Pelodiscus sinensis: one gene and its partners. The main gene of each other region encodes a partner of the protein of the gene in region 4 in a complex. Links are inferred from orthologs where the notes say so. Each region holds a gene or a part of one and is shown on either strand. Other genes may lie near its edges.

Region 1 (6,874 bases), on a different chromosome or scaffold from region 4:
ATGAGAGCTGATCATCTAACTTAAGTCCAACAAGCAGACCAAACCACCACTACAGTAGAGCTTTCTTAACACATCTGCGAAAGCCAACACCCCTCCTCCCCCCAACTGTGACATTTCCTGATTTTTGCATGCTTAAAATATACAGCATCTACTTCAAAGGAAGGTGCAAGATAGTCTGCAGCAGCAGTTATGGGAGAGCCTGCCCTATGGGAGATAGTTATTTAATGTTCTAATAAGACCTGGTTCTGGCAGGGTTATCCCCAGTTAAATATCTGAGCCTTTTCTGTATCTGGCTAGTGATCTCCTAGGGCAGTGAGTGCTACAAGCTTGATCATAGATCCCTGGAGTTAAAGCAGCAAGCCTGATTTAATGCCATCCAATGTCCATGTGCCTTAAGTTATGATACAAGGGAACTACACAGTCTTCTCTAGTCCATTCAGCATTTTGTATCCTTTCATCAGCCCTCCCTCTGCCAGGCTGAACCATCCCAACCTCCTTCCAGGGCTGAGAGTTTCTTGTCACTCATCTCTGAAGCCCTTCCAATTCTTCAGTGATGGGTTGACCAGTACCGCACATCATTTGCAAAGGAGGGTGCCCCATTGAATTCCAGAAGAGCATGCCAAGGAGTTCAATAGTATTCCTCCAGTCCATTCCTCATGCCCCCACCAACTGTGTTTGCCTCTCTAAGTTGCTGCCCAGCAAACAAAAGGAATCACAAGAGTCGTACTCAGCAGCTTGGTGAGTGGTGATGGTTAATATACAGCCCAGTGAAGTGGACAGTGAGTTCAGATTAGTCCCGCCAATGTGCATTACTTAGCATCTGTCCCCCTGGAATCCCATCTGCCACGGTGCTGTTTTTTTCCTTACCATGGCAGGGCCCCTCAAAAGTGCCCTATCAGCATGACTCCCACCCAGGAACAGAACTGGCCCTTATAGTGAAATTTATCTCATTATCCATGCAGCTTTTCAGCATTTAGGCTCCTATTTCCTTAGGAGGGAGTGTGCAAGGTTTCACAGTTAACCACAGAGAAGTCAGGAACACTCAGGTCCCAGCTGTGTGCACTACCCTAACCCTCCCTACCCAGTCACCTGTATGCAGAACAAGTCTGACTTCACAATCCAAGTTCTCAAACAACATTCGGTCCTTCCGGCTCAGAGGCTACAAACACGTGCAGCACCTACTACAGACCAGCAGGCTCTGAAGTAGGTGCCCAGCAGGAGACCCAAGTTCCACTCCTTACTAAGCCATAAACCTTGGAGAAGCCAAACTCTCTCCCTACCCTCAATTCCCCTTCTGTAAGATGGGGGGCACTTGTACTTAATTTAATAATGGGCTCTCGGCCTCAGGATGAGAAGTGCTACCTAAGGACAGAGCTGATCGATCACAACGAAAGGCGAATACACCATGTCAAAGCTCCAAGGTAGCAGACACAGACCTGCCAGTGATCACATCAGCTTTTCGGTCACACAATGCCCCCCTTGGGTATCCATTCCCAGTATGACACTGTAGTACTGAAGGAGCAGCATGTGCCACTCAGCCTGTGCCAATGGAGCAGGGCAGGGGAAGAGAAGGCCCTGCGGGTGGCAGCTGTGGCACTAACTAGCAGGGGGATTCAGGATGTTGGCAGGGAACAGAATTCCTGTGAGAGCGCACTGGCGAGAGGGGGCTCACCGGTAAGCGGTGCCCCAGGGCCCTCGGAGGTTCAGTTCAGAGACTGAGTGGGCAGGCGGCCAGTTAGGGCTGTTTGAATTGGGGCTGTTCCGTGTGTGGATCGGTCAACAGCAGATAGGGGTCAATTGGGGGGGGCTGGACTGGGGCAGGGAAAATTTAGGATACAGCTCCTTGGGGGGGGGGGGAGGGGCTGGTCCCAAGGGGGTTTCTCAGGGAGAGCGGGGGCGAGTCTCTCACTAGTGAAAGGAAATGAGGGCGGTCACACAAGGGAAGTGCAGTTCCGGAAAGGGGGGGGAGGGGCTGGTCTCTCTCAGTAGGTAAGTGGGGGGGGAGAGGAAGTCCCCTCGCGTGGGGAGGGGCTGTCCCACTCGGAGGGGAGGGGAGTAGCTCGCGGAGAGCAGAGGCAATTGGGGGGGGTCACGGAGGGAGGAGCAAGGGCTCCGGGGGGGGGCTGTTCCCTGAGGAGGTTACTCCGGGGGGGAGGGAGGTTCTGGGGGGGGTCACTCCCAAGGGATTTGCTCGGGGGGGGGCTGATCGCGAGGCCGGGGGGTGTCTCCCAGGGAACAGGAGAATTCGGGGGGGGGGGGGGACGATCCCGGGGGCCTGTCGCTCCCCGGCGGGCGGGGCTGTTTCCCGGGGGGGCGATCCCGGGGGGGGGGCTCTGTCGCTCCCCGGCGGGCGGGGCTGTTTCCCGGGGGGGGTGATCCCGGGGGGGGCCGATCCCGGGGGGGGCCCTGTCGCTCCCCGGTGGGCGGGGCTGTTTCCCGGGGGGGGGAATGACCCCGGGGGGGGCTCTGTCGCTCACCGGCGGGCGGGGCCCCGGGGGCGGGGCTGGCGCTGCTGCTGGTGCCGGCGGCTCCGGAGCTGGCGGGGGCGGGCGCGATGGGCTTGTAGGACATCCCCGAGTCCCCTCCCTGACGCGGCGCGCGGCTCCTGGGCGCTGATTGGCTGCGGCTCCGGCGCGGGGCGCGTCGACTCCCGGGCTGGCGGGAGGATCCCGCACGCTGCCGCCGATTGGCCGGCCGGCGAGGCTGCTGAAGCCGATTGGGCGGCCCCGCTCACCCCTCGCCGCTGATTGGCCGCGGCCTCCCCCGTCCCGCTGGGTCCCGACGCCGCTGTCCGGCAGTGTCCTCGCGCTGGGGTTGGGAGTGGGAGAGAGAGCGCGCGCGCGCGGCCCCTTCCCGGCCCCTCGGGCGCGCGCGTTTCTGGCGCTCACCCCTCCGGCTCGCGCCCCGTCCCTCACAGGCCTGGGCCCGCCCGGCCCGGCGCGCGCCGCTGCCGCCTGGCTCGCTCGCTCGGCTCGGACCCTGCGGCGCCCGCTCGTGACGCCTGCCTCCCGCGCCTGCGTCCTCCGCCCCCCTCTGTGACGTGCGCCCCGCGTCACGGCGCCCCTTCCCTGGCTCCCGTCTCTATGGAGACCAGCGAGACGCCCTGAGGCCTAGGCGCTCCCGGCCAGCCCGGCCTCGCGTGGGGAAGCCGGCGGGCAATTGCCCGCTTAGGGCGCCGCGTGGCTGGGCGCCTGAATCAGCCTGGGGCCGGGCTGGAGCGAATCCTGCCCGGGGGGGGGGGCTGCTGTCGTGGCCTGGGAGACCCATCCCCCCCCCAGCTGTGGGAACCCAGCAGGGCGGTTTTGCACCAGGGCCCGGCCCTGGGATGCTGCAGCGCAGGCCACAGGGGTCTGCGGGAGCAGGGGGGGCTTCCCTTGGGGGGGCCCAGAGGCACGGGGGGGGCTTCCCTTGGGGGGGCCCAGAGGCACGGGGGGGGCTTCCCTTGGGGGGGCCCAGAGGCACGGGGGGGGGCTTCCCTTGGGGGAGGCCCAGAGGCACGGGGGGGGCTTCCCTTGGGGGGGCCCAGAGGCACGGGGGGGGCTTCCCTTGGGGGAGGCCCAGAGGCACGGGGGGGGCTTCCCTTGGGGGGGCCCAGAGGCACGGGGGGGGCTTCCCTTGGGGGGGCCCAGAGGCACGGGGGGGGCTTCCCTTGGGGGAGGCCCAGAGGCACGGGGGGGCTTCCCTTGGGGGAGGCCCAGAGGCACGGGGGGGGGCTTCCCTTGGGGGAGGCCCAGAGGCACGGGGGGGCTTCCCTTGGGGGGGCCCAGAGGCACGGGGGGGGCTTCCCTTGGGGGGGCCCAGAGGCACGGGGGGGGCTTCCCTTGGGGGAGGCCCAGAGGCACGGGGGGAGCTTCCCTTGGGGGGGGCTCCCCATGTAGCTGTGAGACTGGTGGCTGGGGGGGGGCTGCCCCGAGTCGCCCCTGCCATAGGCCCCGGGCGGGAGCAGGGGGCTCTGCCCGGGGCTCAGGCTGCTCTAAGTGCCGGCGCCAACTGGCCTTTCGCCCGGGGAGCCAGTTGTGTGAAGGGCGCCCGGCGCTGTGAGGGGATCCCCCCCGGGCAGCCGCTCCCTGGGCTCCTGCTCTCGTTGCTTTGCAAGGCCAGCAGCAAACCCCTCTGCACAACAGCACGGGGAGGCACCCAGCTCGATCGCCTGCATGCGCCCAGAGCTACGCACGCGCCGCACAGAGAAAGGCGCCAGCCACGGCCGCCCCGCCTTCTACCTCAGGAATAGACCTTCTTGCCCGGCTCACGGTGAGCAGAGCAAATGTATTAACTGGTTCGCCACTCGCCACACAGGTGAGGGCAGGAGAAAGGTGAAGCATGAGCCAGTGTGGTCTGTTTTATACCAGGGGTGGGCAAGATCCAGGCTGCCAAGCTATTTGATCCTGTCTGCGGCCCACCCTGCCATGCCCCTGCCCCCAGGCCCGTCGGGACTTGGGGGTGGGGGAGTGCATGAAGTCTACTCTCCCTGCCACGGGCATGTGGCATCAGAGGGAACTGCCAGCTTTTCAAAACAGCTGGTGGTTCCCTCTGGACACTCAGTGCCCTGGCACGGCAGGGGGCCAAGAGATTTCGCATGCTGTCCCACCCTGCAGGGGGAATGTGCAAAATCTCCTCTCCCCCACTCCCTTCCCTCCACCGCATGCAGTGCCCAGAGGAAACTGGCCCTTCTGCCTAGGTCCTGCCCCTTCCACCTGATGTGCCAGCCCAGAAACCATTAACAAAACTGGTTAAGTGCCCCCCCCCCCCCAACAATTATTGCCCACCTCTACCTTAGTCCATCTGCTTGGAGAACACAAGTCCAGGCAAGTCTGATGGGTATTGCTGAGTCCTGAGGCAAGGTTGAGCAATTCCCCTGATGCAGCTGTCTTACGCAGGTGAGTCATTGAATTGTTCCTTTGCTTGATAATGTCTATTGATGCTTGTTTTGACACTTGCCTGGGTTTTGGCTTCTCTCCATGCCAGCAGTTCCCAACCTTTTCCAGATGGGGACCCATTTTGACAATTCAGGAAGACTTGGTGACCCAGGACAATTCAAAAAATGTGTGAATGGCTCCTTAAGAGCCACCTGGGGAGACCCTTTTGAAATGTAATGGCGATCCATATTTGGGTCCCGACCCATAGGTTGGGAAAACCTGCTCTATGCTGTTGTCTCTGCGGAGCTAGTATCTAGAGTTGATCTTCCAACTTACATCATGTTTTCATGGCACTTGTACAAAACAATCTCAAGACTTATATGCATTAAATATATACATATGTACAGGGCTTGCCGAACCGCGGTGAGCCCCACTCGCCAGCCGCGCTGTCCGGCGATCTGCGCATGCTCAGATCGCCTGAACCCGGCTCTTCCGGGTTACAAACTACTCGCCACAGGCGAGTAGATTGTATAATTTGTCGAGCCCTGCATATGTAGATAGAACAATGATTATCAGCTGATCAGAACCTTTCCCCTGATACCTAACATGGTATGCTTTATATATCCAATATGACAATTATACATGGCCACTGACTCCGTGGGTGCTTCGGGGGGAAAACTGATGAGTGCTGAGCACCCTCCCAACAACCCCCCCATAAGCTCTCCCCCCCAGAACCTCCCACCCATAGGTTGGCCCCATGGATCATTGCCTTTGACTTCAAGCCTCACACCCACTGTGAGCAGCTGGAAAAGTGAGGATGCAGTGTGCTTAGGGGAGGGACGGGAACTGGGTAGGACGTGGGAGGATGGTGTCTTGGGGGAAGGGGTAGAGTGGGACAGGGCTTGAGGCAGAGCCAGGGGTTGGGCATCCAGCACTTTTGAAAGTCTGTGCCTGTGCAGTTATATGTAGATGAAAAATAGTTTTTGTTTTTTTTTACAAGGTGCTCCTGTAAGGTATAAAGCAGAGCTACTCACCTTTGGGAGCCCCAGGGGCCACAATGATACTCACAGCACATGCCGAGGGCTGCAACTTAAGTGTGGTTGCATATACATGCAAATACATATGCAAATAGGTTCTTTCACACTGACAGGCATGAATACAAAGATTAAGGCAAGACTACACAAGATGCAGGCCCCATTTAAGAAAGATCTGCTGATATTAATAAAATGCAGTATTTACCTGATTTCCACCCACATGACAGCACTTTTAATGAGCGATGACAGTCCAGGAATTTAACTACTAAAATGCATATCAACAGAAGACCATTATATTAACTTGCCGTTGTGGAGCGTGTTCTCAGTGGAGGTCATGTTCAAAGGATCTCACCTGCAGGTCACATGTTGAGCCCCATGTAAACCCAAACTGCACCACGAGCCGCAAATAAATGGGCCGCAGCCCGCGAGCCACATGTTGAGTAGCCCTGGTATAAAGTCTCACAACAGTAAAAATGCAAAAGTTAGCAATTTGTAATAATATGTGGCAGTGTGACACTTTGGCATGTTTATGTCTGATTTTGTAAATATATCCTTTCTGCCAACTGCAGCTGGCATCAATCAGGGACGAGTTCAATATCTAGGAGTTCCTTTTCAATAGTGCAATAAAGAACCGGCTCAAGCCTCCATCCTCCACTAACCTGGAAAAATTACTCACAAGCACAGAGTCTGGGTGTAGTAAATAAACTTTTAATAATGGGAGAAGTCATTCGACATTAATTAGAGGAAATGCCACCAGCAGGATTCATAAACATAAAACCGTGACGAGAACACCCACATCAGCACGCATGGGCAGTGCCTTCTGCCTCATGTTCTTGAGTTCTGCAACCAAAAGTTTCTGTGCTGCGCTCCCTTCTGCTCCTTCATCACTGTCCACTCACAGTGGTGGTCCTTGGTTAGTGAGGAGCCAGAGTTCAGAGGCAATTCTGTATGAACTCACCTCCCAGCCAGGAAGGAAGGCACTTT
Region 2 (7,677 bases), on a different chromosome or scaffold from region 4:
GGAAGTAGCTTCAGCTGGTTCCAAGCCCAGCAGGACTGACGTGACCCTAACTACAAAGGTACTCTGGTGGCTGCCATAGTGAAGGGAGGTAACCTTGCTGAAGCTACTGGACAGCAGTTTCTCACTGTGATATTTGAAAATTCAAGTGACTTTCAATTGGACAAAACTCCTTGAGGTCAGAAGACAAGACCTAACTCTAGATGAAGCTGGTGTCTTGCTGGGATTCTTTAACTTTTATTAGATGTTTGTTACCTTGTTCACGTTGAGGGAAATGTGAGGCTGTTTCCTTACCGCTGTCGCAGAAATCCAAGCATGGAAGGCTGGGAATGATTGGAACAGATGCACTAGACGGAAACAGAGAGAGAACAGCTTCAGGAATAATTTTGGTTTTCTTTAGCTTACTACAGTTCCATGTTAGAAGAAAATAACTTTTTCCTGAGGGGTCATGATGCTAACTGCTTGGCTACGTCTACACTGGCATGATTTTCTGAAAATGCTTTTAACAGAAAAGTTTTTCGTTAAGCATTTTTGGAAAAGCACGTCTAGATTGGCAGGATGCTTTTCTGCAAAAGCACTTTTTGCGGAAAAGCGTCCGTGGCCAATCTAGACGTGGTTTTCCGCAAAAAAGCCCTGATTGCCATTTTCGCCATCGGGGCTTTTTTGCGGAAAACAGTACTGTGCTGCTTACACTGGCCCTTTTGCGCAAAAGTCTTTTGGAAAAGTCTTTTTCCCAAATGTGAGCAGCATAGTATTTCTGGAAAAGCACTGATGATCTTACATGAGATCGTCACTGCTTTTCCAGAAATTCAAGCGGCCACTGTAGATAGCTGGCATGTTTTTCCACAAAATCATCTGATTTTGCGGAAAAACTTGCCAGTCTAGACACAGCCCTTGGGTTTAGGAAGGAGTTCTACTTGCATGGGTATAATATTACTTAATTGGTCCATTTGGGGCCAATTTCAAGCATCCTGGCCCCAGTTGAGTGGAGGAATAGATATCTGTCATCTAATAATAAGCTAGGGTCAACTGTGAACCCTGTAGGCCACTAACATAGTCAAACACTTCGGCAAAGGTCAAGCATATTCCATAAGGTGACCAGATCTACTTTAAAAGGACAGACTAGTATTTAGACTCTTACAGGTGTCCTGACTTCTTGAAAATGGGCAAATTGTCTTGTGTGTTCTGATTTCCTCCCTCCCTCTCCCCCAGTACTGGCCAGTCCTGCTGCTGAGTTCAGTGGCTGATGATGGAACCGGGTGCAGCATGTGGGGCTGGCCGCTCCTCCTGCTAATCCACCAGTGCTGTTCTTGCTGCATGCCGGCTCTTGGGGAGCAGCCCTGTCCTCCCGACCTCCCATTTGTGGCCAGCAATAGCTGTGCACTATGGGGGCCGGTGCCTGCAGGCAGGCAGCTACGTGTCATCTCTGCTGCCCACTCATCAGCTCTTTACATGCTGCCCCTCACTGTCCTCTCTTGCTGTGCCCCTTTGCCCTCCCCTACCAGCCCCACTGTTCCTCCACCCCCCACAGTCCTGGGTCGGTGCACTCAGCTCACCAACAGCTTGGTGGGCAGGCTCCATCCTTCCCCTTCTGCTCTGGCAGGGCTGGGGCCTGGGAAAGCTCAAGCCCCTCCCACCCAGTGTGTGGGCCAGGAGGAGGGTCAACTAAGCTCTGGAGCAGGAGAGGGGAGCGAGTCCCCGGTATGCACAGTGCTCCTGCAGGCTCTGCAACAGCAGCCCTTCCCCTGCTGCCCTACCCTGGCACCTGGTCCCCTAGGCACCCTCCTCTCGGGCCAGATTGTCTGAAGTAGGGATGTGAGCGTGTAGTCGATGGTCCGATAAGCATAAGCCTATTGCATAGTCGACTAGTGATGAGACTAGTTGCTTCCCCCCGTTCACTGCCTCTGGCAGAGGCAGCAAGGGCTGTGTGTGCAGGAGCCGGTGCTGGAGGAGAGCTGGCTAAAGCTGGTTCCCCCCAGCACCGTCTCCGTGGGGGGGGGGGGGGGTAGAGGCACAGTAGGAAACAGAGAGAGCAGGACTGATGCAGTCTCCACTCCCACCGCTTCTGCTGCGATTCTGCTTTTGAAATTGTCGTTATACTGGGCTCTTGTACAGTTCAAAAACTGAAGCCCTGTGGGGAGCTGGGGCAGGCCAGTGGGGACTCCCCTACTGGCCCCAGGCTCCCTATGGCACCTGAGCCTTTGAAATGTACAAGGAATGTACTAGCCTTTGAAATGTACAACCCACAGGGCTTCTTGTATATTTCAAAGGCTGAGCCAGGGCAGGGAGCATGGGCCAATCCCCTGCTGGCTCCGTGCTTCCTGTGTGGTTTCCGAGCTGGCTCTTGCTACAGTTCAAAGGCCGAGCGCTCTTATAGACTAATCGGCTAGTCGATGGAAATCCTATTGACTATTCAATTAGTTAGTTAATCTAAATTTAACTTCCTTCGGCTGAAGCCCCTGCAGTCAGGTTCACTGGATGCTGGCGCACAGGGCAGCCTTAGGGCTTAACCGTTTCCTGTCCATGCTGTAGTTGGGGGACAGGAGCTGGGTGGGTTTTGTCAGTGGCCAGCAGCAGCCTGGAGGTGTTAGCTGCCTTTCAACACTGGGCGGGAAGAAACAAGATGCTTCCAGCCACAGAGGAACAGGGTAGGTGGCGGGGGGAAGATGGCCAGGTCATCGTTTCCCTCCCGCACAGTGCTGCAAGGCTGCTGCTGGCCACCTTCTGGTGTGAACCCCAGCAGCAATCTGGGGACGGGAGCATGTGACCCTGTGTGCTCCTCCCCACAACTTGCCCTGGGCTTGCTGTGCCAGCTCCCTGGAGCGGTGGGTCCATCTGGAGCCCCAGCCAGACATGGAGGGTTGGATCAGTCAGTCATCTCGAGAGGTGGATGGCGGTGTGTGTGTGTGTGTGTGTGTGTGTGTGTGTGTGTGTGAGTGACCTTGTCACGTATGAACCCTACAGCCTTAACGATAGCAGGTCATTCAAAAGATTCCAAGGGAGCACTATTCCTTTCTTTCAGGAAGGGGCAGTCACCCTGACGTTAATTTGAATGTGAGTCCTGCATAGTTGTGACGGGTTGCCTTTGAACTTGCTTAAATATGAGTAATTTTACCAGGTGTCCCGTATTCAGCGCAGGGAAATATAGTCACTCCTTCCGGCAGTGGTGCGGTCCCAGCCTCCCTCCATACATTGATGCTTCCCTTCTGCCTCCATCTCAGCTGGACAGTGGTGTAATCAGCTTCTGTCAGTCTCTGCTGGGCAGGCAGGAGGCAAAGAATGATGCTGTATAGTACGAGCGCCTAGGCAAAGAGCTGTAGTGCCTCGTATTCCCGCTTGCAACCCTTGCCCCTTTCCAGAGTCTGCTGGGTGCCTGTCCTCAGTGCCGGCTGCCCCAGCACAGCAGGGCCCCACTTGCTGTCCGCCGCAGGGTGTGGAGCAGGTGTGATCTGGCCGAGGGCAGAGGATGGCAGCTGGGGCCCTGGGGATGGATGAATCCATCCCTAAGGCTACCACTGTGCCCCATTCTCCTGCCTCCTTCCCAGCCCATCCCCCTAGCGCCACTTCCCACTGCCCTATTCCCCTTGCCCACCACTTCCCTCTCAGCCTCCCTGCTGCCCCTTCCCCTCAGCTCCCTCTCCCCCCACTAGCCAGCCCGTACTGCCCCTGCCCCACTTCGCTCCTACCCGCCCTCTCGCCACATTGCCTCCCCCCCCGGCTCCAACCTGCCCCCCATTATCCCCCTGGCTCCAACCTGCCCCCCCCATTATCCCCTTCGGCTCCAACCTGCCCCCCATTACCCCCTCCCCCCTCAGCTCCAACCTGCCCCCCATTATCCCCTCCCCCCTCAGCTCCAACCGCCCCCCCATTATCCCCCTCAGCCCTAACCTGCCCCCCCATTATTCCCTTCAGCCCTAACCTGCCCCCCCACATTACCCCTCCCCCCTCGGCTCCAACCTGCCCCCCCATTATCCCCCTGGCTCCAACCTGCCCCCCCATTATCCCCTCCCCCCTCAGCTCCAACCTGCCCCCCCATTATCCCCTCCCCCCTCAGCTCCAACCTGCCCCCCCATTATTCCCCTCAGCCCTAACCTGCCCCCCCACATTACCCCTCCCCCCCGGCTCCAACCGCCCCCCATTATTCCCCTCAGCCCTAACCTGCCCCCCCACATTACCCCTCCCCCCGGCTCCAACCGCCCCCCCATTATTCCCCTCAGCCCTAACCTGCCCCCCCACATTACCCCTCCCCCCCGGCTCCAACCGCCCCCCCGTTATTCCCCTCAGCCCTAACCTGCCCCCCCACATTACCCCTCCCCCCCGGCTCCAACTGCCCCCCCGTTATTCCCCTCAGCCCTAACCTGCCCCCCCACATTACCCCTCCCCCCCGGCTCCAACCGCCCCCCCGTTATTCCCCTCAGCCCTAACCTGCCCCCCCACATTACCCCTCCCCCCCCGGCTCCAACCGCCCCCCCGTTATTCCCCTCAGCCCTAACCTGCCCCCCCACATTACCCCTCCCCCCTCAGCTCCAACCGCCCCCCCGTTATTCCCCTCAGCCCTAACCTGCCCCCCCACATTACCCCTCCCCCCTCAGCTCCAACCGCCCCCCCGTTATTCCCCTCAGCCCTAACCTGCCCCCATTGGCCCCTCCCCCGGCTCCGACCCGCCCCGCCCGGCGCGGCCCCTTTAATTCCCCTCCCCCTCCCGGCCGCTCCAGCCTCCATTTTCCAGCGGATCCGGCACCTGGAGGCGGCGCGGGAGCGGCCCGGCCCGGGCATGGCCGCCAACATGTACCGGGTGGGAGGTAGGGCCGGGGGGGGGCAGGTGTAGAACGCGGGGGGGCCGGGAGCAGCGGGGGGGCAGGTGTAGAACGTGGGGGGGCTGGGGGCAGCGGGGGGGCAGGTGTAGAACGCGGGGGGGTTGGGGGCAGCGGGGGGGCAGGTGTAGAACGCGGGGGGGCTGGGAGCAGCGGGGGGGGCAGGTGTAGAACGCGGGGGGGCTGGGAGCAGCGGGGGGGGGCAGGTGTAGAACGCGGGGGGGCTGGGAGCAGCGTGGGGGGCAGGTGTAGAACGTGGGGGGGCTAGGGGCAGCGGGGGGCAGGTGTAGAACGTGGGGGGGCAGGTGTAGAACGCGGGGGGGCTGGGAGCAGCGGGGGGGCAGGTGTAGAACGCGGGGGGGCTGGGAGCAGCGGGGGGGGGCAGGTGTAGAACACGGGGGGGGCTGGGAGCAGCGTGGGGGGCAGGTGTAGAACACGGGGGGGCTGGGGGGCAGGTGTAGAACGCGGGGGGGCTGGGAGCAGCGTGGGGGGCAGGTGTAGAACGTGGGGAGGCTGGAGGGCAGGTGTAGAACGCGGGGGGGCTGGGAGCAGCGTGGGGGGCAGGTGTAGAACGTGGGGAGGCTGGGGGGCAGGTGTAGAACGCGGGGGGGCTGGGAGCAGCGTGGGGGGCAGGTGTAGAACGCGGGGGGGCTGGGAGCAGCGTGGGGGGCAGGTGTAGAACGCAGGGGGGCTGGGAGCAGCGTGGGGGGCTGGCGGGAGATGGGAGTGGGGTAGAATCTGGGGTGCATGTGGGTTGGGGGTCTTAGGGCTGGGGCAGAGTGCAGAGTTGGGTTGTGGGCAGAATTGGGGCTGGCAGGGGATGGGGGACTCTGGGGCAGTGGGTCGTAGGGATGGAGTAGAATGTGGGGCTTGGAGTTGTGGGGGCTGACATGTTTTGAGGTTGTGGGCTGGATGCTCTGGGGGGGAGCAGCTAATGTGTGTGGGGTTGTGGGTAGGTCTGGATGGGGTGTGCGGGAGAGGGTAGGGCTGGATGGGGTGCGCGGGACGAGGTTAGGGCTGGATGGGGTGTGCGGGATGAGGGGTCGGGAGAGGGTAGGGCTGGATGGGGTGTGTGGGATGAGGGGTCGGGAGAGGGTAGGGCTGGATGGGGTGTGTGGGATGAGGGGTCGGGAGAGGGCAGGGCTGGATGGGGTGTGCGGGATGAGGGGTCGGGAGAGGGTAGGGCTGGATGGGGTGTGCGAGACGAGGGTAGGTCTGGATGGGGTGTGCAGGATGAGGGGTCGGGAGAGGGTAGGGCAGGATGGGGTGCGCGGGACGCGGGTGGGGCTGGATGGAGTGCGCGGGACGAGGTTAGGGCTGCATGGGGTGTGTGGGATGAGGGGTTGGGAGAGTGTAGGATTGGATGGGGTGCGCAGGATGAGGAGTCGGGGGAGGGGAGGGTTGGATGGGGTGCGCGGGATGAGGGGAGGGTTGGATGGGGTGTGCGGGATGAGGAGTCGGGGGAGGGGAGGGTTGGATGGGGTGCGCGGGATGAGGGTAGGGTTGGATGGGGTGTGTGGGATGAGGGGTTGGGGGAGGGGAGGGTTGGATGGGGTGCGCGGGATGAGGGTAGGGCTGGATGGGGTGTGCGGGATGAGGGGTCGGGAGAGGATAGGGCTGGATGGGGTGTGCGGGATGAGGGGTCGGGAGAGGGCAGGGCTGGATGGAGTGTGCGGGATGAGCGGTCGGGAGAGGGCAGGGCTGGATGGAGTGTGCGGGATGAGGGGTCGGGAGAGGGTAGGGCTGGATGGGGTGTGCGGGATGAGGGGTCGGGAGAGGGCAGGGCTGGATGGGGTGTGCGGGATGAGCGGTCGGGAGAGGGCAGGGCTGGATGGGGTGTGCGGGATGAGCGGTCGGGAGAGGGCAGGGCTGGATGGGGTGTGCGGGATGAGGGGTCGGGAGAGGGGCAGGGCTGGATGGGGTGTGCGGGATGAGGGGTCGGGAGAGGGTAGGGCTGGATGGGGTGTGCGGGATGAGGGGTCGGGAGAGGGCAGGGCTGGATGGAGTGTGCGGGATGAGGGGTTGGGAGAGGGCAGGGCTGGATGGAGTGTGTGGGATGAGCGGTCGGGAGAGGGTAGGGCTGGATGGGGTGTGCGGGATGAGGGGTCGGGAGAGGGCAGGGCTGGATGGAGTGTGCGGGATGAGGGGTCGGGAGAGGGCAGGGCTGGATGGAGTGTGCGGGATGAGCGGTCGGGAGAGGGTAGGGCTGGATGGGTGTGCGGGATGAGGGGTCGGGAGAGGGTAGGGCTGGATGGAGTGTGCGGGATGAGCGGTCGGGAGAGGGTAGGGCTGGATGGGTGTGCGGGATGAGGGGTCGGGAGAGGGCAGGGCTGGATGGAGTGTGCGGGATGAGGGGTCGGGAGAGGGTAGGGCTGGATGGGGTGCGCGTTATGAGGGTAGGGCTGGATGGGGTGTGCGGGATGAGGGGTCGGGAGAGGGCAGGGCTGGATGGAGTGTGCGGGATGAGGGGTCGGGAGAGGGTAGGGCTGGATGGGTGTGCGGGATGAGGGGTCGGGAGAGGGCAGGGCTGGATGGAGTGTGTGGGATGAGGGGTCGGGAGAGGGTAGGGCTGGATGGGTATGCGGGATGAGGGGTCGGGAGAGGGCAGGGCTGGATGGAGTGTGCGGGATGAGCGGTCGGGAGAGGGTAGGGCTGGATGGGGTGTGCGGGATGAGGGGTCGGGAGAGGGCAGGGCTGGATGGAGTGTGCGGGATGAGGGGTCGGGAGAGGGTAGGGCTGGATGGGGTGCGCGTTATGAGGGTAGGGCTGGATGGGGTGTGCGGGATGAGGGGTCGGGAGAGGGCAGGGCTGGATGGAGTGTGCGGGATGAGGGGTCGGGAGAGGGTAGGGCTGGATGGGGTGCGCG
Region 3 (7,469 bases), on a different chromosome or scaffold from region 4:
TAACCTGATCATTGTCCCTAATTCAAGACCCATCCACACACAAAAATCCCATAGCCAGAGGGTGGTGGACCTGCCTGTCTGTATAATCTGCAGCTCAAGTTAGCACAACTCATCAGCTGCTCACACAACAACTTTGGGTAGCTCCTGTTATTTTGCAGTGTGGCCACTCTTGCTGGAGCTAGACTAAGTGGAATTAACCAGAGTGTAGATAACACAAGTGAGCTCTGCAGTGAAGACACAGACTTCAGAAGCATGTCACCACAGTCTCTATAGTCCCACTTGCACCAGAAACCCTGCAGCACAGATTATCAGCACTGTTAGGGACTCCAAGTTGGCCACCTCCCCTTGAAAAACTTGACTCCTGATCACTCCAAGTTCCGATAGAGCAGCTTCTGCAGAGGTGATTTTGGGCCAAAGGGACAGATGTCCTGCTTTTTCAGCCTCTCCACAGAATACAAAGGAAAGGGAGACCCAGGTTTGGAAGCAAACCCAGGATTTGCACTTCTAGCTGAGCTGGTGGTATTTCATTAAAACACAATAGAGAAGGATCCTCCTGAAACTCAGTTTAGGGTCCAGCAAGAAAGGAAGGAAGCCATTTGCAGTCACATCATTCTCAATGCAATGTGTGCCCCTGCAAGGACTGCTTTGTCTAACTCCCTTGGCCTCAGGCCATCATGCTGGCATTGCCACTAGCTAGAGGAAGGGCTGGTGAAGGAGGGATAATGGCAGGAGACAGAGAGAAAGAGAGAGTCCATTTTGGATAACGATTCCGATATTTTTCATTTCAAAGCATCTCTGGGCAGTAAAGCTGACAATTAAGCAAGCACAAGTTAGACAGGGATAACAGGAGCACAACACTGGACTGCTGAAAAGCCACTGAGGACTAATCAAATGAAAGAATTTAAAGCTTGAATCGTGTCATGGTTTATCAGAAATCATATAGACAGAACGAGAACAACAAAAATACAGAAAAAACTTCCCAAGTTACTTAAACTAATGGTCTCAGTAACCTATTTGCCATGGTCTTAGCCGTTTCTTTCATATGAAGTGCAGTTAGCCTTGTGTTTTCCCCTCACTCCATGACGTAAGCCAAAAATCAAAACAAAAAGCTTAGTGTCCCTGCTCTTGTATGGAGGTATTTTAGAGAATGAGACAGATTGTAGTGAGAGACAAAAAGGAACAGTTCCAATGCTTGGGTTTTTTTTTTTTTTTTGGTTTTTTTTTATGGTAATACTGCTTTATTATGTCACAAAGAATCTAAGTCAGGACCATGACTTTTTTTTTTAAATGTAACATGCTGATCTCAAGCCATGATCCTTTAAATACTGACATGCATGCTGAATTTTACACACCTTGGACCTCTCATTAAAGTCAGCTAGAACAAGCTTCAAGCTATTCTCATATATAGGTGTTTGCAGGACCACGGTTGTAGTTCATGTCTTTCTTCTCTAGCCACTGATGACAAATTCCTTTCAGTAGAATGAGATCTGCTAAAATTGCAACTCTCATTGTACCATTTGGGGACTTTTAATTTCTTTAGCACATCAATACCCCAAGAACAGAATCTCAGGCAGTGCTACAAAACCACTGAAGCATATTTCCACTCCGTCTTCAAACATCAAAACTTCTCTCTCTACCCTTTTTGTTTTAAAAGTCACATTTCTTCCTGTTGATATTTTGATATCAGACCTGTAGATGCTATGCATGTGAGTGACCTGGTAAGACTAGCTTGGTTAAACACAATTTTTCCATATTTTGTTTTAGTACCACTAAGAGAGATAAATATATGGGTGATCTCCTGAAAATACCCCACTCTGGATTAATTCCTGCAACTGTGTTCTGAATTTTCTTAATTATACCCACACACACTTTCACATGCATACCCATACAAATACACACACACACACACACACTTTTACAGCAAAGTTCACAACCAAAATTATTTTTTAAATTACTATTTCCTTTGCAAATAAAAAGTTAAATCCATCAAAGTAACTTTGCAGGGGATGGAGAAGCTGGGGAATAAAAATAAACACAGACTGGGGGAAAAATAGGTTTTCTCGAACAAGAATGAAGCGCCTAACATCTCATTCTGGAGGGAGATTTATGCAACACAAATGAATCCTCTCCAAGGCACTTTGAGTGACAATCCCAGGTTACCCAACCCTGCTGGAAAAAGGGGCTTTTGCAGATCAGGGGTGAGGGGCTTTTTTCAAAGTCCCCTTAGGGTGCAGCCCTGGAGAAAGCACAGACAGGGGACAGCAAAGCCCCCAGCCCCGAAGAGCAGAGAGCAAAGGCTGCCTCGCCACACACCATGCGCGGCCAGGCACTTGCAGCGTCTGGCCAGCAGCGGTCGCGGCTGAGCCGCGAACAGAATATTCCTGATCCAGATCAATCAGCAGCCCGAGGGAGGCGATCATGGAGGAAAGCGAACGGCCGGATCAAAAGAGCTACCAACTGAGAGGCGTCGCGCGGAGGCGGCCGGCACCTGGACGCCAGCCTGGGCGCAGCGCCCCGGGGCGCCGCGGGGCTCGGAGCGGGAGCCACGCGGGGAGCCGAAGTTTGCTCCTTGGGAAGCGCAGCGCTGTTTGTGATTAGTAATAATGGCGGATATGAATCAGCTCCGAGGATCTGACCCTACGTATAGAACTGGACAAAAACTACAGTCTGGGGCTTTCCCCAGGTATTCCTGCTGCACCACAGCGCTCTTTTTGTGCCTCCAAAAAGGGCTGGAAAACTTGCCCTCCAGTTGCAATCGGAGACTTACCCTGGTTGATGGAAGTCCCAGGGAGGTGGGCGTTCAAGTTGGGCTTGTAAGACATTCCTAGAGACATTGTAAATTCAAGAAATAAAAATGTCCTGACATTCAGTGGAGCGTCTCTGTGTCTCTCAGACACTTTGGGTTGTTTACAGCGGTAGCAGCACCGGCAAATATGGCCGTCACTTATATTGACACCCACAATGCAATATATCATCCATACATCATTAGGAGACATGAATCCAAAAACTTTAGGGGAGAAAAGGAATTCACATGCCTCACAGCTACACCCAAAGCACTTTAGATTTTTTTTTTTTTTTGGAGGGGGGTAATTTTTTTATTTTATTTTATTTTACAAAGCAAACAATAGAGCTCTTTTAAAAAAACATTGTTTTTTAAATTAACTTCAGAAACTTTTGGCAGAACTTTTGGGGTGAAGGCTTAACATGTAACTTGTTAAAAAGGGTGAGCTGGGGTTTGAGGAAATGTTTCCTGAGCAATATTAAAAGGAGAAAAAAGGTTGAGTTTGTGGTGTTAGAGTGGCTTTGATGGTTTTTGTGGGAGATGAGACAATAATCTGTATTTTTTAAAATATATATAATTTTTCCAATTAATTTTAATGATGAAAAATTTCTGCTAATAAATGTTTAAGCATTTTTCTCTCAATTTTCTATATACATTCTCAAAGGGAAAAAGGTGTTTTTTTCAAAATTATTTTATATATTATATACATTTTTGTCTGACCACCAGACCAGAGGTTGAAGGTCAATATAGACTGCAATATAGCAATGAGAGTTGTAGTGAAAATAAAAATAATTTATAATGAACTGGTTTTCTGATTGCAAAGACATGGTAATGAAAAATAATTTTCCTCACAGATTTAGAATGCTAAGTTTTAAAAATAATATTTAAAAAGTCTTAGAGATCTCTGACCCCAATACTCATTCCAACAATGGATCAATTTAATTGCAACAGAGTTATCCTCCAATTAACCCACAATAGGCCTATGGCATATTCAGTTAAAGTTATTCTAGATTTACATGAGTGTAACTGATCAGAATCAGTCTTCCTACCCCTTCTAGTGGGTTCTATAATTAAACACCATGCTGGAATTTTCACATTACATGGCATTTCCATTGTAAGAGTGTTACTCTGAGAAAGCTGTGACAGTTACAATTTCTACTATTATTTTGCAACCAAATGGAGCCCAATCCTGGCTCCATTTAATGACCGCCTTCCATTGACTTACATGGTACAGAATTAGGGCTAGAGCAGTTTTCATTTCATTCATGGCTTTACAAAAGAAGGTAGGCTTGATTCCAATTTTACAGGTGCAGAAACTGAGTTGCCTGAGGTTAAATAATTTGTATAAGGTGATACAACAGCCACTACAACTCAAGTATCTACACACCACTTCCCTGTTCTACCCATGAAACACTTCAGAGCCCTTATAGGAACAATCATGGCTGAAGCCTGTGAAATAAATTAACTTGGTGTCCTGCAGTTTCATTTTCAACTCCAAATATGTAACAAGTTACTTACAGCAGTGAAGTCCAGAGTCGCGAAGGTTATTGCTTAAACATCTAGGCTGCATCTAGATTGGCATGAGTTTTCCGGAAATGCTTTTAACTGAAAAGTTTTCCATTAAAAGCATTTTCAGAACAGAGCATCTAGATTGGCACAGACGCTTTTCCACAAAAGCACTTTTTGCGGAAAAGTGTCCGTTCCAATCTAGACGTGCTTTTCCGCAAAAAAGCTCTGATCACCATTTTCGCGATTGGGGCCTTTTTGCGGAAAACAAATCTGAGCTGTCTATACTGGCCCTTTTACGCAAAAGCTTTGTGCAAAAGGGACTTTGGCCTGATCGGGAGCAGAATAGTATTTCCGCAAGAAGCACTGATTTCTTACAGTAGGAAATCAGTGCTTTTGTGGAAATTCAAGCTGCCAGTTTAGACAGCTGGCAAGTTTTTCCGGAAAAGCTGCTGATTTTCCGGAAAAACTGGCCAGTCTAGACATAGCCGTAATGCGCGCTGTACTTCATTAACACCAGGCCTGAAAGCTTAAGGCATAAAGTTAGATGCTTTTTATCCCATATTTTCAAAATGGCATCTAAAGGGTGGCTGTGCAATTTTCAAACTCAACAGGAGTCATGCGGCTAACCCCCCCCTCTCATCCAGCACTTTCCAAATTGATGCCTGATGATTCCTGAACCTTTGTTGCAGGGTTTGCACATCACTGTTTACACTGATCCCTCAAATGCTTGTAAACCTTTGCAGAACACATCATTCTTGACCTAATTTTTATGGTCCCGATTCTCCATTACCCTGACCTTCTGCAGTCATTTATACATCTATCAAGTAAATATAGAATGGAATCTTTCTGAGTTACTAGTATTCTAGTGTAAACAAATGCATGTGATGCAGGGCCTCAGAGAATTTACTTGGGACTCACATTGACAGCTTAAAAACATACAATGTTCCTATAAGAAATGTCTTTAAAATAGTGAAGACCCTATAAAATCATCTCTCTTTAAATTACAATAATACAAGGTGTAGAGGGACCCATCTATATTTTTGAGCACTCTCCCCCCCCCCCCTTTTTTTTTCCTTTCTCCACCAATAGAAAGTTTTCAATAATTTAGGGCCAGATTCTCCATCATGGACATCTCTGCAGAGTGGGTGTCTGTTGCCACTCTGCCAGAAAAGTAGGATTTTACATCCACTCTTCAATTCTCCTGCTTAGCTGTGACGACACAATGTGCTAGACCACAGAAAATCACACCCTTATCTTTTGGCACCTGTAAGACCTGTCCAGTTTAATTGGCTTGGCTGGTTATCTTTTGTTCCCAGTTTTCACTCTGGGTAGGCCCCAGAGAAATTGGCATGGGTACAACATGACCAAAAGTGTTTCCCATCTCCCTAATGGTGTGCAGTCAATGTACAATTAGTGGTCTCTTTTCACACATTTGTGGCTGTAACAAAAAATAACCATCCCAGCTGGCACTATAATCTGCTTTGTTGGCAATTTTAGCAATGAGGCCAGAGATGAATTCTCTCAGAGATATTGCCTTTCGGCCAGGCAGGGTCATGGCATGGACCCACATCCTACAGACAGAAAACATCATTTCCATTGTCCTACATTCAGCAGCTATCAAATGCAGTAACCTCTTTTCACAGGACACCCAGTAGAGATAGAAGTTGGGCATCTTCTGTACCAATATCACATCTCTGCCCTCTGAGCTGTCTGCTCACTGGTAGCAACAGTGGACTCTTGATCTTTACATAGGTCAGCCACTAGAAGGGGACATATCCTACAGAACCGATGTGTTACATGGTTTGATGTCCTCTCCCCCCCCCCACACACTCTGGAGGCAGAGATAACTTACAAAATGTGTATGTTCTTAATTTTTTTTTAATCAAGGAGAAAGGCAATAAGTTGGGCTAGTCTCCACTATTTGACAGATGATGTGGGAAAAGCTAAAGTACTCAATGCTTTTTTTGCCTCTGTCTTCACAGACAAGGTCAGCTCCCAGAGTGCTGCATTAGGCAACACAGTATGGGAAGGAGGTGGGCAGCCCTCAGTGGAGAAAGAACTGGTTAAGGACTATTTAGAAAAGTCAGACATACAGAAATCCATGGGACCTGATTTAATGCATCCAAGGGTGCTGAGGGAGTTGGCAGATGCTATTGCAGAGACATTGGCCATTATCTTTGAAAACTGGTGGACATTAGAGGAGGTCCCAGATTACTAGAAAAAGGCAAATGTAGGGCCCATCTTTAAAAAAAAAAGGGAAAAAAGACAATCTAGGGAACTACAGACTGGTCAGCCCCACCTCAGTCTCTGGAAAAATCATGGCGGGGAACCTCAAAGAATCCATTTTGAAGCACTTGGAAGAGAGGAAAGTGACCAGGAATAGTCAACATGGAATCACAAAGGGCAAGTCATGCCAGACCAATCTGATTGCCCTTCTATGACAAGATAACTGGCTCTGTGGACATTTGGAAGGCAGTGGAGGTGATACACCTTGACTTTAGCAAAGCTTTTGATACGTCTCCCACAATAGTCTTGCCAGCAAGTTAAGGAAATATGGATTGGATAAATGGACTGTCAGGTGGAGAGAAAGCTGGCTAGATTGTTGGGCCCAATGGGTAGTGATCAACAGCTCGATGTCTGGTTGGTGGTCAGTTTCAAGTGAAGTGCCCCAAGGATTAGTTCTAGGGCCAGTTTTGTTCAATATCTTTATTAATGACCTGAGTGAGGGCATGTCTGCAGATGATAGTAAGCTAGGGGGAGAGGTAGATACGCTGGAGGGCAGGGATAAGGTCCAGAGTAACCTAGACAAATTGGAGGATTGAGCCAAAATAAATCTCATAGGCTGTGTCTAGACTGCATCCCTTTTCTGTAAAAAGGGATGCAAATTATACACATCGCAATTGCAAATGAAGCTGGGATTTAAACCCCCCCGCTTCATTTGCATAAACATGGCTGCCATTTTTTCCCAGCTCGGAGCTTTGCTGGCAAAAAGCGCCAGTCTAAACGGGGATCTTTCGGAAAATAAAGCCTTTTCCGAAAGATCCCTTATTTGCAATTGTGATGTGTCTAATTTGCATCCCTTTTACGGAAAAGGGATGCAGTCTAGACACAGCCCTAAGGTTTAATAAGGACAAGTGCAGAGTCTTGCACTTGGGATGAAAGAATCCTAAGCACTGTT
Region 4 (7,618 bases):
ATGATCAGCCCCTATTTTCCAGGAAATCCGATTCTCTCCGATAGCATTGCTCGCCGTTAAATGGGTGTGCTCGGGCTTTCCGCTCAGGAGAATGTCCACTTTAGCAATGTAAGAAAACGAGCGGCACTGCATGGACCCCGCTCGCCATGGGTAGAATCCACCCTTGTGCAGAAGGCAGCACGGTGAGATTTGTGTGACCCTGGTGAGGATTCCCTGCAGAGTGGTAAATCTGGCCCTGTTGGCATAAACAAGCACAACTCCACTGGCTTGGGTGGATTTTTAGCCATTTTGTGCTTGCATGAATTTGGCCAATGTGGCTACGTTAACAGATGCAATACGAGTGTTTTAGTTTGTGGATGTAGCTTTGGTGCATAATACATCAGCCTCTATGTACATGTAGACACTTTTTCCTTAAAAACCCCAACACTGAAAAAACCAAGAACTACACACCCAGAGTGAGCAAGGTAATTCTGTGCAGTTCTGCAGGAAGATGTCACACATAAGGAATTCCCAATGAAGACCATACATATCTCCTGACCTGCCTGGATCTTGCCCCTGAGGCTCAGGGCTTCCTCCCCCAGCATTGGGGAACCCGCGCTGGCGCTCCAGCCTCTCTGTCTCCCCACTGTGGGGTTGGAGCACACAAAGCTGCCAGCCTGGGCCCCCTCAGCTCTGGTGTGCGTTGGGAATGTGGGGAAAGTCTTTCTGCTTTTTTTTTTTTTTTTTTTTTTTGCTTCTCACTCGTGTGTGGCCCCAACTGATTTCTCTGTGGGGCCCCTAACCCAAAAAAGGTTCCCACCCCTGCTCTAGGCACGTTAGCCCATATTCATGCAGAGTTAAACTGAAGACATTAGCCCCAAGCAGGCATGTGTACAGGAATACATATCTGGCCACTTTCAGAGGGGTACTTTCTGTGCACACACCCCACACCGAGAGGAGCTGCCCCCCCACTGTCCCATCCGGGAAGCTGGCTCTCCCTCCCTCCACAACCCAGGGCCGGCGGAGCTTTCGTTTCCTGCCCCAGCCTTGGGCGCTCCCTCGCCCTAGCCCAGCCCCAGAGGAATTCTGGACCCTGCTGACCTGGGAGGGCCTGGCTCCCTGCTGGCCCCCCTCTGTCTAGCCAAGAGCTAGGCAGATTCCTCCTATGTCTGTGTCCCAACTACAGAATCCATCTCTCTGTGCTCAGCTATCGGTCTTACAATGAATAAGCCTCCCTGTGTAAGCCAGGCCTTTAGCTAACCGATTCCCTGCCCTCGCCTCCTGACAAATGCTGTGTCAGCTCTGTTCCATTGACAGCCCTGACATCTTACCCAGCCCCCCTGAATCCTACCCTGGACCTTGCTGGCCCAGCCCAAGAAAGACTCTGTCTTAGCAAGCTCCTGAAACGCCTGCTAGTGCAGCAGCTGCTTTTTACCCAGAAGATATGCAGCACGCCTGTCAGCAGAGCAGGTGGGTGTCAGAGGTGGCAGGCACAGCCAGGTAAAGTGGGTTAAGTAGGAAAAACAAACCAGGTAAACAAAAGTCTTTCAGCTGCTGTTCAACAAACCAGGTTTGGGCTCAACTGAAATGAGTCTGTTGGCCTGAATGCCCCAGCACAGCTGTAGACCCCAGGATACAGACCAACCTCAAGAAAAACAAAGGGAGGTAAAAGTGATACAAGAATCACAGATAAACCACCAGTGGAGAGAATGAGGGAGGTAAACCTACAAAGGCTGGGAAAGAGGACAGAGGAGACACCAGAACCGCCCGTTAACCCCTTCCAGGTCACTGCAAATGTAAGGAAAAGAGGAAGAAAGGAAAGTTTAGACTAGGCACCCAAGAAACATTCAGAGAGTCTAGGCAGAGAGAGCCGGGGGGTGGTGAGCTGTAGGCAGAGTCACCACCCCTGTCAAAGAACGGGGCCAAAAAGTCTACAGTAGGGAAGATGTAGAAACGGAGTCAGCCCGGAACAGGAACCAGGCCAGACAGCCCCTTGCCACACCCCATGTGGACAGGGCACAAAGTAGGGAGGTAGCATCCCGGTTCATCAGTTAACCAGTGACATGTTGGGCCCACCTAATCTTTAACTGGTTGGCTGATGAAGCGGAGGCAGGGTTACCAGTTAACCAGCACCAATACACATCATCCATTCAAGTCCCGGTTAACCTTTCCCATCCCTGGTAGGTAGCCAGCTACCACCTGGCTTAGCTCTAACAAGTGGGGTCAGTTTCTCTCCAGTAGAAAAAGGACCAAGAGAGGAAGGAAGGAAGGAGCAGTCCAAGGCAGCCAGGCGGTTTCAGCCAGTTCCTTAGGCCTTGGGCTACTCACCCCAGGCAGGGCTGTTAGGCAGCGGGGGAGGAGAGCAGAAGTCACAGATCTTCAAAGGCGCTGAGCTCCCGCAGCTCCCGTAGAGTGATGCTGCTGGGGAGGGGGATCAGCACCTCCGAAAACCCGCCTCTAGCGCTTGGCACCCCCCTCGCCCGCTCCGGGCTGCCTGGGCAGAGGGGCAGGGCGCTGGGGGGGAGGCTCCCCGCCCCGCTGCATGCTCCCAAGGGGGGCCCATCAGGGGGGCCCCGGCCCAGCCCCCCGCCTGCAGGCGAGCCTCAGAAAGCAGCTGCCCACGGAGCCACATCGCCTGGGCTCCGTCCCTCCCGGGCAGAGGGGCAGGTGCCTGGACCCGCGCTCCGCGGCAAGGCAGAGTCCTCGGCAGCCCCGAGCTCCCGCAGCCCCCCGCCCCGGGGCTCGGCGCCCGCCTCCCATCCCCACCCCGGCCCTGCCCGCGCGGCGCCCATCACCGCAGCCTCCTGCCCGCCGCCTACCGGACATGTCCTCCTCGTTCTCCGTCTCGTCCCGCGGCTCCCCCGCCGGCCCCCGCATGCCCGCGGGCTCCCACCTGCCGGGCGCGGGCTGCGCGGCGCAGGGTGAGGCTGCTCCGCGCGAAGATGGCTGCGGCGGCCCCGGGTCTTTTTTTTTTTTTTCCTTTTTTTTTTTCTTTTTTTTTTTTTTTTTAAGGAGGGCTCTCCCTCTCCCTCTCCCTCTGCCCGCCCCCGCCCCCGCGCTCCTCCCGCCCCCGCCCCCGCGCCGGCCCCGCCAGCCCGCAGCGCGCAGGAGGGAGACACGCACCCAGCCCCCCCTCCCCGGGATTACACATGCCCACATTGTGACGTCCAGTCTGGTTGCCCCGGCAACCGCATCCCATCGTTTGGGCACCCGTCCTTCGCGGGGTGCGGGGGGCAGGCTGGGCGCTCGCTGCACGCCAGGGGCGGGGGGGGCAGGCGTGGCAAGCACCCTCACCCAAGGCTGCAGCTGGGGGGGTAGTCTGCTTATCCAGGGCTTTGTCTGCGAGAGGCACCCCCCCCCCACGCCCATCCCCCGTTTCCACATCACACCCCTGGCACAGTACACTCCTGACACTGGACATCACGCCCGGCCACTGCACCGCTGGCAGGGCTCCTGTGCCCAGGGGCGAGGCTGGCTGGGAAGGGGACAGGCAACACAGCTGCATCCCAGCCAGATCTGACCCTCCAGATCCTGAATGCTTAGCCTCCCCTAGCACCTGGCTAGCAGCCCAGGGTGGATGCAGGGAAAAGTCAGGGACAGGGCCCAGCTAAGCACCTGCAGAGTTCCCTGCTTCCAAGAACCAGCAGCAGCCAGTAAGCTCTTCGGGGCTCCTTCCATCCCCTAGGGCAGCCTGTGCTGTTCCCTTTCATTATCAGGACGCAGCCTGGAAGGGAAGCCCCCACAGCTGGATTCCTCCTGGCCAGAGACCCTGCCTTGTGGACCCATACATGCCTACCAGGCCCAAAGGAAAGGAGACAGCTTGGCTACTGACCTCACAGAGCACCCCTAAGATATTATCCTGGAGGGCTGGGCAGGGGGTGCTTAAGCCATGAGCCCCCATGGGAAACTGAAGGCAATAGCCAGAAAAGCCCTAGCCGGAGCCCAGCCTCTGACATTGGCCCACTGGCTCATTTCTTAGCTTTATAAACAACATCTGCATTTCTGAATAATTCACTCAAAGCGCTTAGGTAACACTAGTCCTAATCCACTGACCTGCTGGCCGTGGGGCATGACCTCCCTCATCCCACCAGCCAAAAGCATGATTTAATATGGCGCATCTTTTGTTCTTCATCTTTTGTTGCGCTCATCTTTTGTTCCTATGTGGTGGCTGTTTTAAAACAAATTGTACATTTTGTTACTGTGTAGGACCTGCAGCCTAGCTTCTTTTCAGTGTCATAACATATTACTCCTGGTTCAAATGAATAAAGTCACAAAGCTTTGCAGGAAAAGGACACAGCAACTCAAACTTTTGCATCAAATTCAGCAAGAGAAAGTTGAAAAAGCCTAGTTAAGAAGTGAGCATTCTGTTGAAATGACTCCCACATCCTATTTATTAAAAGAGACCGGGCACATCTGATCGCTGCCTTTACATGATATTTTTATTCTTCCTTTTCTTTGAAAGGATTAGCCACAGCTTAAAAAAACCCCGAACACGGGAATACTCCAGGTTTCTAAATACAAGCCCCTGCATCCCTCTGCATTACTATTCGGCGAAAGGACTGAGGCTAGGCTGTCTGTGCCTGCGTATCTCTAAGCTCTAGAACCCATCTGGTTGCTGGCACCGGAGCATCACGGAGGAGGGAAGGTGCCTGTATAGCTAGAGACACTAGTTTTTGCATTATCAGAAGCCCTGGATCCAGATTCCCTGTTCACACAAATCAGAACATGCCTCCCTCCCCCTTTTCACTGCTGCTCAAGCGAAGCCTAAAACTAGAGACGCTGAGATGATGCAGACCAGAACTGACCGTCAAATTTGGGCAAAGTTTGCAGATTGCCAACTAATACGGCTGGCTGTAACCTGGGCCATTTTCACACACACCAAAGAACTAAGGAAAAGGTCTGCCCAGATGGAAGACTAATGTTAAACCAAACCAATCACCGTAGCCCTGCTAGGAAGTTTCCCCCACATGTACTTCTACCCTAGTGCATAGTGGACCCATTTTTAACGGTCAACACAGAGGAAGTCTAACAACAAACTCATTAAAAAGTTCTTACATTTATTTTGACTGAGTTCAAGCTTTCAGCAAAACCAACAATTCAGGAAAAAATGTGGAAACTGCTCTGGACAAATCAAATGGGGGAGAAAGCCTCAGTTAGCCCTATTCAAGCCCCATATGTTCAGGGCATGAAAATGACTTGCTATGTTGTCCTGGGTGAGCACTAAAAGCGCCATGACTGAATATAGTGAGTCACCTGCATGACCTTCCAAGATGGCGACTGCAATGGGCTGCCACTGAAGAGGCAGCTGGTGCAGAGCTCAGCCATTTCCCTCCAAAGCAGAAGGTCAAACATTGCATCTGTGCTTCTCGGCACGCGCTCCATTCCCATTGCGTTCCTGGCTGTCGGTGACGGTGTTAGGCCCAAAAGTGAAAGGTTTTGTCTACATTAGAAAAGCTGCACCAGTCTAACGAGATACATTTAAAATCCACTTGGTTTGGCTCATGCCACTTTATAGACAAGTCCTAACCCTAAGACGATTAGGACTGCTGGATCCAGTGCTGATCATCTCTGACCTTCATTGTCCTGGCAAACTAGCAGGCCGATCACAGCTGCGAAACACTTCACTGGCATCCCAACAAAGGCCACCGTTTGCAAGTTTCAGGACACATTACAAAACGTGCGTTTCTGAAGACTTTGTCATGAACCTGACCAGATGGCTCTTCGTTAGTAATACATAAAATAAGGTTAAAATCCTCTTTTTTGAAGGGGGAGGCGTTGTTTTGTAAAGGAAAAATACTTCAAAACTGAGATCCAAATTAACAAGCCATGATAAAAGACTGCAACAAAAGCCTGATGAACTCCAGCAGGTCTCAGTGGAATTCAGTGTGTATGCTAGAACGCCGAGCATTGAATCCCATCACCCCAATGGGGCCTGATGGGGACAGGAGAATGTGCTACACTTCCTCCAAGGATCTCAAAATGCTTCACAAAAATATTCATTAAGCTTCACAACACAGCCACCAGGCAAGCAAGCTTTGTACCAGCTTAACTATGAAGTATTTTTAAATCCATTCAGTTAAACCAGTGTGCACCTACTAACAGGAAAGGCACGCACAACTGGCATACATCAATTTAGGCAAATTCAGTAATTTACTAGTTTTCATTAAACCAATGGAAGTTGAGTGTGTAAAGACGGACCCAAAGCGATTTACCCAAGGTCACAGCCATTCTGGGTCAGAGATGGAAATAAAGCTGAAGAGTCCCATATCCAGCTCCTACTCTGCACTAGGGACGTAAACTAAACAGGTGAGGCTTAACCGTTGCAGTTAACCGGCAGGGGCTGGAGCAGCTCCCCACCCGCTCCTGGGAAAGGGCCGGTGTCCAGCCCTGCGAGTCCTAGGGCAGGCAGGGGCTACTCTGGATGGCCAGAAGCTCCCCCACTGCAGGTTACACACTGGCTCCCTGGGAGTGGGGCCAGCAGGGGCCATGGGCCCTTCTCCTGAAGCACCAGCTGCAGAGCCCACAGCAAAGCCTCCGTAGGAGCGGAGCCGGCAGTCCTTACTTAGCTTTACAGTGCAGAGCCTGCAGCACACGCAGCCATGTAACCTCTAGGAGTTTTAGCGATTACGTCCCCGCCCGGCACACTGGACAGCTCAAGTTGTCTTCCCAGGCGTCTACTAAAGAACAAAACTCATCTGAATGTGACACAAATACCAAATGTCTTACGGGTGAGAAGTTGATAACATTGCCCCATAAATACCCCCCACATTTTTCTCTCTGAGGCTACGTCTATACTGCACTCTTCTTGCGCAAAAGCCTATGCAAATGAGGCATAAATTAGCATATTGCCACACTTCATTTGCATAATTAATTGGGGCAATTTTTGCGCAAGCGGCTTTTGTGCAAAAAGCTGTGTAGATGGCTCCTTTTTGCGCAAAACCCCCCTCTTGCACAAGAGCCATTCCTCATTTTTTCAGGAAAAACAGCCCCTAATTATGTAACTGAAGCGCTGCACTATGCTAATCCGTGCTTCATTTGCATAGGCTTTTGCGCAAGAAGAGTGCAGTATAGATGTAGCCTCAGTGTGCCAGAGAAACGGAGAGAAAGGAATATCCATTAATTACAAGCCATCTTGACTAAAGCACACTTATGCAAATAGTGTTTGTTTATGGTAATTAGTTCTGTAATGATACTTTTTTAAACCAAAGGTGTTACTACAGAAGCTGAGCATGACACATGGACAGGATCGACACTTTAAAACGCACTCCCTGTCAAGTAATTGGGCTTCAAATGAACTTACTTAGGATTCTGTTTCTAGGAGTGAGGTTTTCTGTTGGATAATAAAGAAAAAGTTCAATTACAGGGTAAGGTTCTCTCAGTGCATCAGCACTGTCCGTTATCTGAAATATATTTAAAGAACTAACGCCTAGAAGAATAAATACATAAGAACTCAACAGTCTCAGACTCCAAGTACAAGATCCTGCCAAACTGCTTTACTCAGAGAGAAGCTGGTCACAGCTTGCTGGCAGAAGTACAGCTGTTCTGCTGCCACACTCACTGGGTGGGAATGAAACTCAAGTGCTGTCTATTTCAAGGCTTCAAGACCAGTAAACCTGAAAACACTCATCCCGCACATCCC

What was found.
Region 1: CHD5 (region 4) and CDK2AP2 share a complex: the UniProt entries of both Homo sapiens proteins name them as parts of the nucleosome remodeling and deacetylase (NuRD) repressor complex. The link is inferred for Pelodiscus sinensis from reciprocal best matches to the Homo sapiens genes CHD5 and CDK2AP2.
Region 2: CHD5 (region 4) and MTA1 share a complex: the UniProt entries of both Homo sapiens proteins name them as parts of the nucleosome remodeling and deacetylase (NuRD) repressor complex. The link is inferred for Pelodiscus sinensis from reciprocal best matches to the Homo sapiens genes CHD5 and MTA1.
Region 3: CHD5 (region 4) and CDK2AP1 share a complex: the UniProt entries of both Homo sapiens proteins name them as parts of the nucleosome remodeling and deacetylase (NuRD) repressor complex. The link is inferred for Pelodiscus sinensis from reciprocal best matches to the Homo sapiens genes CHD5 and CDK2AP1.

The regions. Positions count from the first base shown.
Region 1 is NC_134714.1:128,964,325-128,971,198, reverse strand, and holds the start of CDK2AP2 (cyclin-dependent kinase 2-associated protein 2), read right to left. Parts: upstream 3,008-6,874; 5' UTR 2,572-3,007; coding exon 2,478-2,571; intron 1-2,477. UniProt on the Homo sapiens protein: Acts as a component of the histone deacetylase NuRD complex which participates in the remodeling of chromatin.
Region 2 is NC_134719.1:64,828,804-64,836,480, forward strand, and holds the start of MTA1 (metastasis-associated protein MTA1), read left to right. Parts: upstream 1-4,667; 5' UTR 4,668-4,771; coding exon 4,772-4,799; exon of another isoform or gene 4,800-4,840; intron 4,841-7,677. UniProt on the Homo sapiens protein: Transcriptional coregulator which can act as both a transcriptional corepressor and coactivator. Acts as a component of the histone deacetylase NuRD complex which participates in the remodeling of chromatin.
Region 3 is NC_134725.1:31,508,517-31,515,985, reverse strand, and holds the start of CDK2AP1 (cyclin-dependent kinase 2-associated protein 1), read right to left. Parts: upstream 3,012-7,469; 5' UTR 2,997-3,011; coding exon 2,768-2,996; intron 1-2,767. UniProt on the Homo sapiens protein: Inhibitor of cyclin-dependent kinase CDK2. Also acts as a component of the histone deacetylase NuRD complex which participates in the remodeling of chromatin.
Region 4 is NC_134733.1:23,812,356-23,819,973, forward strand, and holds the start of CHD5 (chromodomain-helicase-DNA-binding protein 5), read right to left. Parts: upstream 3,007-7,618; 5' UTR 2,857-3,006; coding exon 2,799-2,856; intron 1-2,798. UniProt on the Homo sapiens protein: ATP-dependent chromatin-remodeling factor that binds DNA through histones and regulates gene transcription. May specifically recognize and bind trimethylated 'Lys-27' (H3K27me3) and non-methylated 'Lys-4' of histone H3.